2 linked regions of the Drosophila melanogaster genome follow. The protein of the gene in region 1 binds, or shares a complex with, the protein of each later gene. Each region holds a gene or a part of one and is shown in the gene's direction. Other genes may lie near its edges.

Region 1 (4,263 bases):
GCTGGAACGCCCAGCAAAAAGTTCTCGATGTCCAGTAGCTTAACACAATCGTCGACTATCACTATGTTTCCGGAATGTAGATGACCTTAAAATGTTTTCATTTATTAAATAAAAAGTAGCTTTCAATAGGGATTCATCTTACCATATGCGTATCCCTTCGAGTGCAAAAATATTAGGGCCTCTAGAATCTGCTTCCCATATGTAGCCACTTGTTTCATTGAAAGCGCAGTGCGCCCCTTGGGATTGCCGTACTTGCTAAGAAATGTATTCTTTGGATTCGCGGCCATGCACAAAACATCCTTTAAAGTACCATGCTTGTGGAATCTAAGTGGATATATATATTAAGTTATATAATGTATAAGTTAGACAACGTGAGCTACTGACTTTCTTATGACCAGGCAACCGTTTTCGGTGTGGGCTGCCAGGAGAACGGGCTCGATGTGCGGATGCTGCAGGCCCATCAGGCTTTTCATTATGCCCCCGATTTCTTTTTCGTCGATAAACTTGTCGGGTCCGTACTCCAGCCACTCAGCCACCACCTCTGACCCGGGATCCAAGGTTCCGGCGTCGATGGAGTGACCGCTGCCATTGCTGCTCCCAGCGGCGAAATGTTTGCTCTGATGGGTCTGTGAACCGCTCTTAACCAGTTGCTTGTTGCTGCTCTTCTCCGGCGGCTTTGTAGTGACCTTAAAGTAGTGCTTCCGGAGGCGCCAGCCTATGGCACCCATACTTCCACCCAGCGACCACGTAGTGTCGTTGCGCAGGCAGAGCATAGCATTCTGCACGGCATGGTCTGAAGATAATTGGAGGACATCGATTAGGGGACCTTCTTCTTCACTAGCAAATTAACTCACCGTGAAAGGACTGCGAGTAACTCTCGGGATCCACAAAGCGCTTGGCTGGCAGCGAGGATGCCAATATGGGATTCATTAGTACGGCGTTTATGTACTCTTGCAGGGCTTGCTTCCGTTCAGCTATGAACTCCGGGCGCATGTTACCAAAGATGCGTTTGCGAGGCAGCGGCAGCTCGATGCCGGAGACGCGGAGAGACTTGTCCAGTCGGTCGAAGTCATTATAGCGGCGCAAAACGGTCCAGTAGTTCTTGTTGCTGGCGCCCCTCCACACGCGCAGCAGGTACTCCTGCAAGCAGACACACACACAGTCACATTCGCCGCCTGCATGAAATCATCAACAATTATTGATTTTTCGCTGGGGTCAGCAGCTCTGCCCCCTCGCGATCTAGCTACCGTATGTCCGGCGACCTCCTGGACGGCGGTTATCTCGCAGCTCAGCGCCTGGGTGTCGTCAATTGGCAATTTCCGTTCATATCTGCTCGCAAAAACGGCCATTGGACTCCTTTGGATACATTTTCCACTTCACTCGGCGAGCTGCGCTGCTGCTGAAAGTGTATGTATGTGTGGGCCTGGCCTCCACCCTTTTCCACAAGGATCCGAATGGATTGGTCTTTGCACTGAATATCTCGAGTTTCTAGTAATTCTCTAGCTACTACCACTTGCAGATTGTCTTTGACCTCTTTGTTTAATGCAGTTTTCGCAGTCCAATTGGACTCGACACAAGTATATTTTTTCACTGTTTACTGCAGCGCACCGACTGTCATTTTTGTATCGATATTTCAAGAATGCAGTCACCGATAGACTGCAGCTTGGATTGAAGCGCCAATTTTAAATAATTTATTGGGAAAGTATGTACAAGTGTAAGCATTAAGTGAATTTTAAACCTTACCGAATCATTATAGGCCTTCCTTTAAAAATCGAATGCTGAAAGGAAATACTGCCAATATTTTATTGGCATATTTTATTCCATAAATATTTTATTGGAAGATAATACGAGTAGAACAAATGTAAGCCTTGGTAAGAGTCTTGCGCTTTGCAGATAGTATTTTAAATATGTTATATTATGTTATGTAATATTTAAATTTTATCCTCAGATATACATTTTTTTATGTCAACATTTTCATGTGGTTTGGTCTTTACTCAAAACCTATCTATGGAAAGAAGTCATAGATAGATAGGTAATAATAAATAAAATATAAATTGCGAACTAAATTTGTAAGCTGAGTATCACCATCGAACATTTTCCAACACCAGCTAGATAAAAGCTAGGCGTCCTGCACTGTCCCGGCCGGATTTGCGAGCTATCGATAACAGGGATGAGCTTGCGTTGTTGTTTTTAGCTAGTGCGAAGTAATTGGGTATAGAAGTGAATATGGCCGCAAACTACGGCATCTCGACGGCAGCTCTGCGTAGCCAGCTGATGGGCCTGATCAACTTCACTGGCACGCACAAGGACCAGGCGGACAAGTACCGCCAGCTGCTGAAGACTGTGCTGACGAACACCGGCCAAGAGCTGATCGATGGGCTCCGGCTCTTTGTGGAGGCCATTGTAAACGAGCACGTCAGCCTGGTGATCTCGCGGCAGATCCTTAACGACGTGGGCAGCGAGCTGAGCAAGTTGCCTGACGATCTGTCCAAGATGCTTTCTCACTTCACCCTGGAAAAGGTCAATCCGCGCGTCATCTCGTTCGAAGAGCAAGTGGCTGGCATACGTTTCCACCTGGCCAACATCTATGAGCGCAACCAGCAGTGGCGCGATGCGGCCACAGTGCTAGTTGGCATTCCTCTGGAGACGGGTCAGAAACAGTACTCCGTGGAGTGCAAGTTGGGCACCTACTTAAAGATCGCTCGACTCTATCTGGAGGACAACGATTCGGTGCAGGCGGAGCTGTTCATCAACCGGGCATCATTGCTGCAGGCCGAAACTAATTCCGAGGAGTTGCAGGTAAATGGCTTCCTAGCGCTATTTTAGATGGGTAATCTGTTAAAAATCGCACCTTTTAGGTTCTATATAAAGTCTGTTATGCTCGTGTCCTGGATTACAGGCGCAAGTTTATCGAGGCCGCCCAGCGATATAACGAGCTCTCCTACCGCAAGATCGTGGACCAAGGCGAGAGGATGACGGCACTGAAGAAAGCGCTCATCTGCACAGTCCTCGCCTCTGCCGGACAGCAGCGTTCCCGCATGCTGGCCACTCTGTTCAAGGATGAACGCTGTCAGCACTTGCCGGCCTATGGAATTTTGGAAAAGATGTACTTGGAGCGCATCATTCGGCGCTCCGAGCTACAGGAGTTCGAGGCCCTGCTGCAGGACCACCAAAAGGCTGCCACCTCCGATGGATCCTCGATCTTGGATCGGGCTGTTTTCGAGCACAATCTGTTGTCGGCTAGTAAGCTGTACAACAACATAACTTTTGAGGAGCTAGGCGCTCTGCTGGACATACCCGCGGTGAAAGCAGAGAAGATTGCCTCTCAGATGATTACCGAAGGTCGCATGAACGGACACATCGACCAGATCTCGGCCATTGTGCACTTCGAGAATCGGGAACTACTGCCTCAGTGGGATAGGCAGATCCAGTCGCTATGCTATCAGGTTAATTCCATTATAGAGAAGATAAGTGTCGCCGAGCCCGATTGGATGGATAACCTGAACTGAAGCAGGCTCTCGCCATCCCATCTCCCCCCACTCATCTTAATTAAAAAACGGCATATAGGAACGCAGTGAATCGGAGGATATAACCCCCGACTGCGATAGATTTCATTTTAAAATTATAAAAATAAATGAAATTATGTACATTATCGATCCTGTGGAACCAAAAGAAAAGAAAAACAGAACAAGACGAAAAACCCCTTTTGCAATCCAGCGAGTTTTGTTAATGTAGTGTACCATACATTTATTTTTTCAGTAACTCGTATTATTCAAAAGGCTCTGTGTACAAAGGACTTTAGTTCTTATACAACTAATGGAATGATTTGTATTCAGGGGATATACATAATCAAATATGTACACGATACAACTAGTTTATCGGGCCACTTAGGCAACAAATTAACCCATGCCTACAACTCCAATACATAACTAGATTTACGCTAATTACTTTTAAACAAATTTAACTAAACAAAATGCACATCATGCACGCCTTGCGATATCTTACAAGCGCAAAGCGGGACTGAGAAATGTGGTGAAGGGCGGGAACGGGAAGGATGAAATAGAGGGCCTAAAAAGAACTTAGAACATAGCGTAGAATCATCCCTGGTTGCTGTTAGAGGTCTCCTCATTCAGCTGCATCTGGGCTAATGTGCGTACGACCACGCCTCGATTCACTGGCGTCAGACCTTGGCAAAGACCCACAACAGCGTCCAGCGCTACGTCGGGACAGTCCTGAAAAGATATATAAATAGAGGAGTTAGTT
Region 2 (4,968 bases), 450 kb from region 1:
ATTGTGCGTCAAATTAATGACAAAGTGAAATCCACAAAAAACCAGAACACGGAGCAGAGCGGGTAAAGTTTGCCGCCGTGACAAAGAGCTTTTCAAAACTGCGAGAATCAGCGGCAAGGCGGAAAGTCTACTATAGCTTACCCTATGCGGAAATTCCAGCCAGAGACCATATATGTATATGGTCATGCCACCAAAAACATCTGGACTAACTTAAAACCTAAAATGTTATATCTTTTTTATAATATGTTCCATTTCTCAGTTGGTATTCGTTACTTCCATTTGTTCATAGATTAATACCGAAACATGGGAAACCTGAACGTTACCATTTAATTTCAGCTTAGTGTTCTTCTGTTGCAAACCAAAAACGTTTTTTTCGCTCTGCCCAATCTTCTAAGTAATTTCCAATCCCCACCTGCTGACCACTAGTGGTCCATCGCAAGAATGGCCACAGGCTTTCGTCGGTTGGCGAGCGAATATCCTCGATGGGCGCAACTTTGCGCACGCAACCCGCAAAATTGCGAACGAAGTAAAGGCAGCGGGATTTCGCATTATTCCAAAAATGTTTCAAACGCAAACTAATCCCGGATGCAATTCGGATAGCAGTCGCCGCAGGAGAAGAACCACATCCGCCGCTCCGGATGGAAGCCAAAAGCGAATCTGCAGCCGAACGCACGCAACAGAATCAAAATCACAACCAATTTTGTAATGGCTGCGTACTGGCAAATTTGGCAAAATCCCATAAAATTTGGAAGGATGGTGGGTAGAGTGGGTAGAGTGGTCGGTAGGCGTGCCAATCCAATTGGAAAAATTACAAAACAGTCCGGTCAATTTCTGTCGAAGTGTCGGCATTACAAGAGGTATGGAAAACAAAGCGATACAAGTGGAAAATATGCTGTAAAATTGAACACTGTGCTGTGGGCAATTTTAAAACAGACGCAGTATCTTTAAGGCTCGGGCTCACCTTTTTCCTGTGAGATCCTGTGTGTGAGTGTGTGTATCCCCGTGGGTCCCTGACCTTTAGTTAACTTTTCATAATCGATGAGCTGGCGCATCTCATACAGGGAATGGCGGTCCCAATCACGCTCACTCCCACTTCCATGCCGAAGTCAACCCCCCAGACACAATAAAGGGTTTTCAACTTTGACCCTAGCCTTTTTATACTCGTATTCGCATATCCGCCCCTACCCACAGCAATAATAGCAAGTGTGGCTGGCGCAAAGTTTTGGCAGTCCAAAGTAGCTCAAGGAATATATTTTTTTAGGCCCAGCCTGCCGTTTCCGCCCTCTTCTCTCCTTTTTTTATACAGCCCCCTAGGGTGCGTCTGTGTGTGCCGCCGGATGGAATGTGGAGCGAAAAGTGTTTTAAAATGGGGATGCCCTGCTTTAACATAATGACCAACATTTCCAAGAGGTGAGTGCAAATGCTAGGCTGTTATTAGAAAAAAACAATGTAGCGAACGAGGAGGTATCCCCAAAGAACATAAAATAATCATAAGCATAATGAACGGGTTAGTATCTGTGGCTAAGGTTGCATAAATCTTAAGTTTTTAATTTACTTTTTCACACAGGGCCTGACCAACTTCAGATTGTTTAAGCTTGGCGCCCACTTTTATGGCAGTCAGCTTGTGCAAGAGACATAATAGTGTGACCTTAATTCTGTTTACCGTACCAAATTTAGTATATTTACTCTGCACTGTAATTTAAACTAATTTTATTATAGGGCAACACAAATAATATTTTTATAAAAACTGTAATTTGTTTTTATGGCTAGATATACAATAATTAAATCGTAAGTATGTCCTGTCATGTGCGTAGTAAGAAATAGTTAGAACTCATTACACTAATAAGATAGAATGAATTGAAACTTCGATAAACTTCGGTCGATATAATTTGGCCATCGATGAACGGTCACACTGGCACTGTGCTTGCAAAAATCAAAACAATCCCAAAATTTAAAAACAAATTATCCAACTTGAAGTTATCAAAATGACGCAGGACATGCTGCTGGGCAACGAGGAGCCGAGCAAGAGCAAGGAGACGTTCCTGGAGAAGTTCTGTGTCCTGGCCAAGTCATCCACCGGCGCCGCTTTGCTGGATGTGATTCGCCAGGCCCTGGAAGCCCCGAATGTCTTTGTTTTTGGCGAATTACTGGCGGAGCCATCCGTTTTGCAGGTGCGTCCATCAATGAAACACATTCTGGCAGTAACTTACCAACCACAAAACCACACATAGCTTAAAGACGGTCCGGACTCCAAGCACTTCGAGACCCTGAACCTATTCGCATACGGCACATACAAGGAATACCGTGCACAGCCGGAAAAGTTCATCGAGCTGACTCCTGCCATGCAGAAGAAGCTGCAGCACCTGACTATCGTCTCGCTGGCCATTAAAGCAAAGAGCATTCCCTATGCCCTGCTGCTCAGCGAACTGGAGATCGACAACGTCCGCCACTTGGAGGATATCATCATAGAGGCCATCTACGCGGGTGAGTTCGCCTAGGTGGATAGATTCAACTAGGTTTCAACTTTACAGCCCCGATGTAGTCTATACAATGTTGCATTACTTTTATTTGCGCAAAACTCATATAAAACAGTTGTTTCCACCTCTCAAAAGTCAAAAAAAAAAGTCCCTTTTCGCATGAAATCGATTTCACGGTTACTAGGGCATTCAACAAAAAAAGCTTTCCTCCTTTTCCTTTTGGGTTAAAAACGTATTCATTTTTCAGCTGAAAGTCCAGCCAATTCAGTGCCAAGCTGACAAATCTCGACCCTGCCTCGCTCCTCAGCTTGCATTATTAAATCAAATGCTAATTTTTGACTACTTCTCACCATGGAAAGGGCGCCTCCTCGTTCAATTAGCATTTTTCAGCAGCTGTACACCTGCGCCGGCGGCCCAGCAGCTGTGAAAGCAGTAGATTCATAAAGTTGTGCTGCCGTCTAGCGCCTCCCATTCCAGACCACCACACCCCGGCCACCGCCTTTGGGCAGTGCACTTGATTAGCCGGGACAGCTGGCGCATCCTGGCAAACGAAAACAATTGGGCGAAGAAACGAGGATTATGCTCGGCAAGATTCATTAAGCCACTCGTTATGGCGCCCCACCAGTTGATTCTGCCCAACTCATCCCCGCGGGGAAACAGTTTTTACTGTTGCCGACGTCGTCAGCTGGATGAACACTTTTGCCTCGATGATTTCCTTTTTGAGCTCACGCCTCAGTGGTGGCCGCCTACAATCAAACTTCGCTACGTAATTGCCACATAAAAAGTTTGCTCCAAGCGTAAGGTGAGGAATCACAAATCGTAAATATTTCCAACTGTGGGAAAATCTTTTGTCAAGATGCTGACCATTAGTAGTTTTGTATGTACCTAAATAGGAGTAATTTGATACGATTACAATCAGTGCATACAATTCTTAGAATCCTAATAGAGACTTGTAGCCTAAATTGTGCATTTGAAACTAACAGGCAATTAGCTGTTGCTATGACTCGCATATAGGAGACGATTGTTGGTAGATGATGTGCATAATTTGCCCACTGTTGCATAGAAACTTGAAATCCATCACTGTGCGCCGGCACAGCTGCATATTTACACAATTTGCACTTGTAGTTCCGGACCGAGGACCCAGTCTGCATTGTATGTCTGCTGAAAGCCTTAAATCAAACGCAACACCCAGAAGCCGGGGCCCAAATATCGCACTCGGAAACATCGTCCGTGTAAGCATACTTAGGGCCCTCGAATGTGGTGCTAAACTTGTTGGTGCTGTTGATTTTTGAGCTTTGGCCTGTGATCTATGGACCGGAATGAAAACAAACAGAGGCTGTGCTATATGGGGCTGGAAAACGAGCCTTTCAGGCGGATTTTTGGTTAGTCCTGTTCGGTTTTCAGCGGCTCCCGACAAGTGCCCACTCGACGTATGAAACAATCTAAACATACGTACCAGAACATTAGCGCTGGATAAGCAAATAGCGTGCAGAAGTTTTTAATGGACTCTTGGACGTCCATTATGTAAGCAAATAAAGTGACAACTCAACGCCATCTGCTCCTCGCAACATCGTCTCACCTGCCCTTCCTAATTGCTTTCCAAATCCAGGCAATGAACAGACAAATAAATTCCCCCGCCCCAGCGAAGATTTATGTTATGATAGCCATCATTAGAGCATCATTGCGGGTGGCAGGAGGCCAAGTGCCAGATGTCTGGCGGAATGCGAAATCATTGCGTTCTATTAGGCGCCGTAATCTGACATCGCAATTTAATGTAGTTGGCAACGGAGCGGGGCCTCCATTAGCCGGCGGGCAGGTTGAGTGGTTCTCTCGTCGCGATTCCAGGTCATCCCATTAGAGCATCATTTGTCTACCAGGACGCTGGGTTGGGGATATGGTAATTAAATGCCTTCTAGAATTCAAATTCGCCAGAAATTCATTTCGGCTCGTTCCATTAGTGGGACAGCTCTTGATTGTTTCGGCTTTGCTCAGTGTTTGGTTTACATTAATAGTACCTAAATTTATTTCAGATATAATAATAATAAGTAATAATAATAAGTATTCCCTCAAGTTAAGTTTTGTTACCTCTGAGGATATTTAGACAACATCATGTGCTTTAACTTGTATTTTAGTTCTTTGCTCTTTCTTTCATAGCAGTTCTACGAATGTTAATTAAGTTGTAAAAATAAGAGTAAGAGTGCGGATAACCGCCCTCAAAAATGTATTGTAAGCGAGAGTCTTTGGCATCTGCTCCTAAAATCGATAAGTCGAGCATTCCCCACCAGAACAGCCTCTGTGGTTTTCAATCTCCCAGGCATTTTCAAATATTTTCCCAACTGCTTCGAACTACTTTTTATGCAATAACATCCCGGCACCAGTAGCTGTATGCTGGGAATCGCACGAATATAAGCAAAACAGTTTGTGCACTCATGTCGAGGCGAGAGTGGTGGTTCGGAATGCCACCGAGTTCACCGAGGATTGCACCCTCGCT

The links. Proteins that work in one complex are often made in the same cells at the same time.
Region 2: CSN4 (region 1) and CSN7 share a complex: the UniProt entries of both Drosophila melanogaster proteins name them as parts of the CSN complex.

The regions. Positions count from the first base shown.
Region 1 is NT_033778.4:7,970,390-7,974,652, forward strand, and holds CSN4 (COP9 signalosome subunit 4), read left to right. Parts: upstream 1-1,785; 5' UTR 1,786-1,861; intron 1,862-1,948; 5' UTR 1,949-2,032; intron 2,033-2,108; 5' UTR 2,109-2,226; coding exon 2,227-2,799; intron 2,800-2,858; coding exon 2,859-3,509; 3' UTR 3,510-3,710; downstream 3,711-4,263. Other genes in the region: CG8726 (uncharacterized protein), read right to left, coding at 1-85, 143-324, 385-793, 855-1,140, 1,248-1,349; ACC (Acetyl-CoA carboxylase), read right to left, coding at 4,098-4,232. UniProt on the Drosophila melanogaster protein: Component of the COP9 signalosome complex (CSN), a complex involved in various cellular and developmental processes.
Region 2 is NT_033778.4:8,419,126-8,424,093, forward strand, and holds the start of CSN7 (COP9 signalosome subunit 7), read left to right. Parts: upstream 1-1,907; 5' UTR 1,908-1,985; coding exon 1,986-2,171; intron 2,172-2,231; coding exon 2,232-2,484; intron 2,485-4,968. UniProt on the Drosophila melanogaster protein: Component of the COP9 signalosome complex (CSN), a complex involved in various cellular and developmental processes.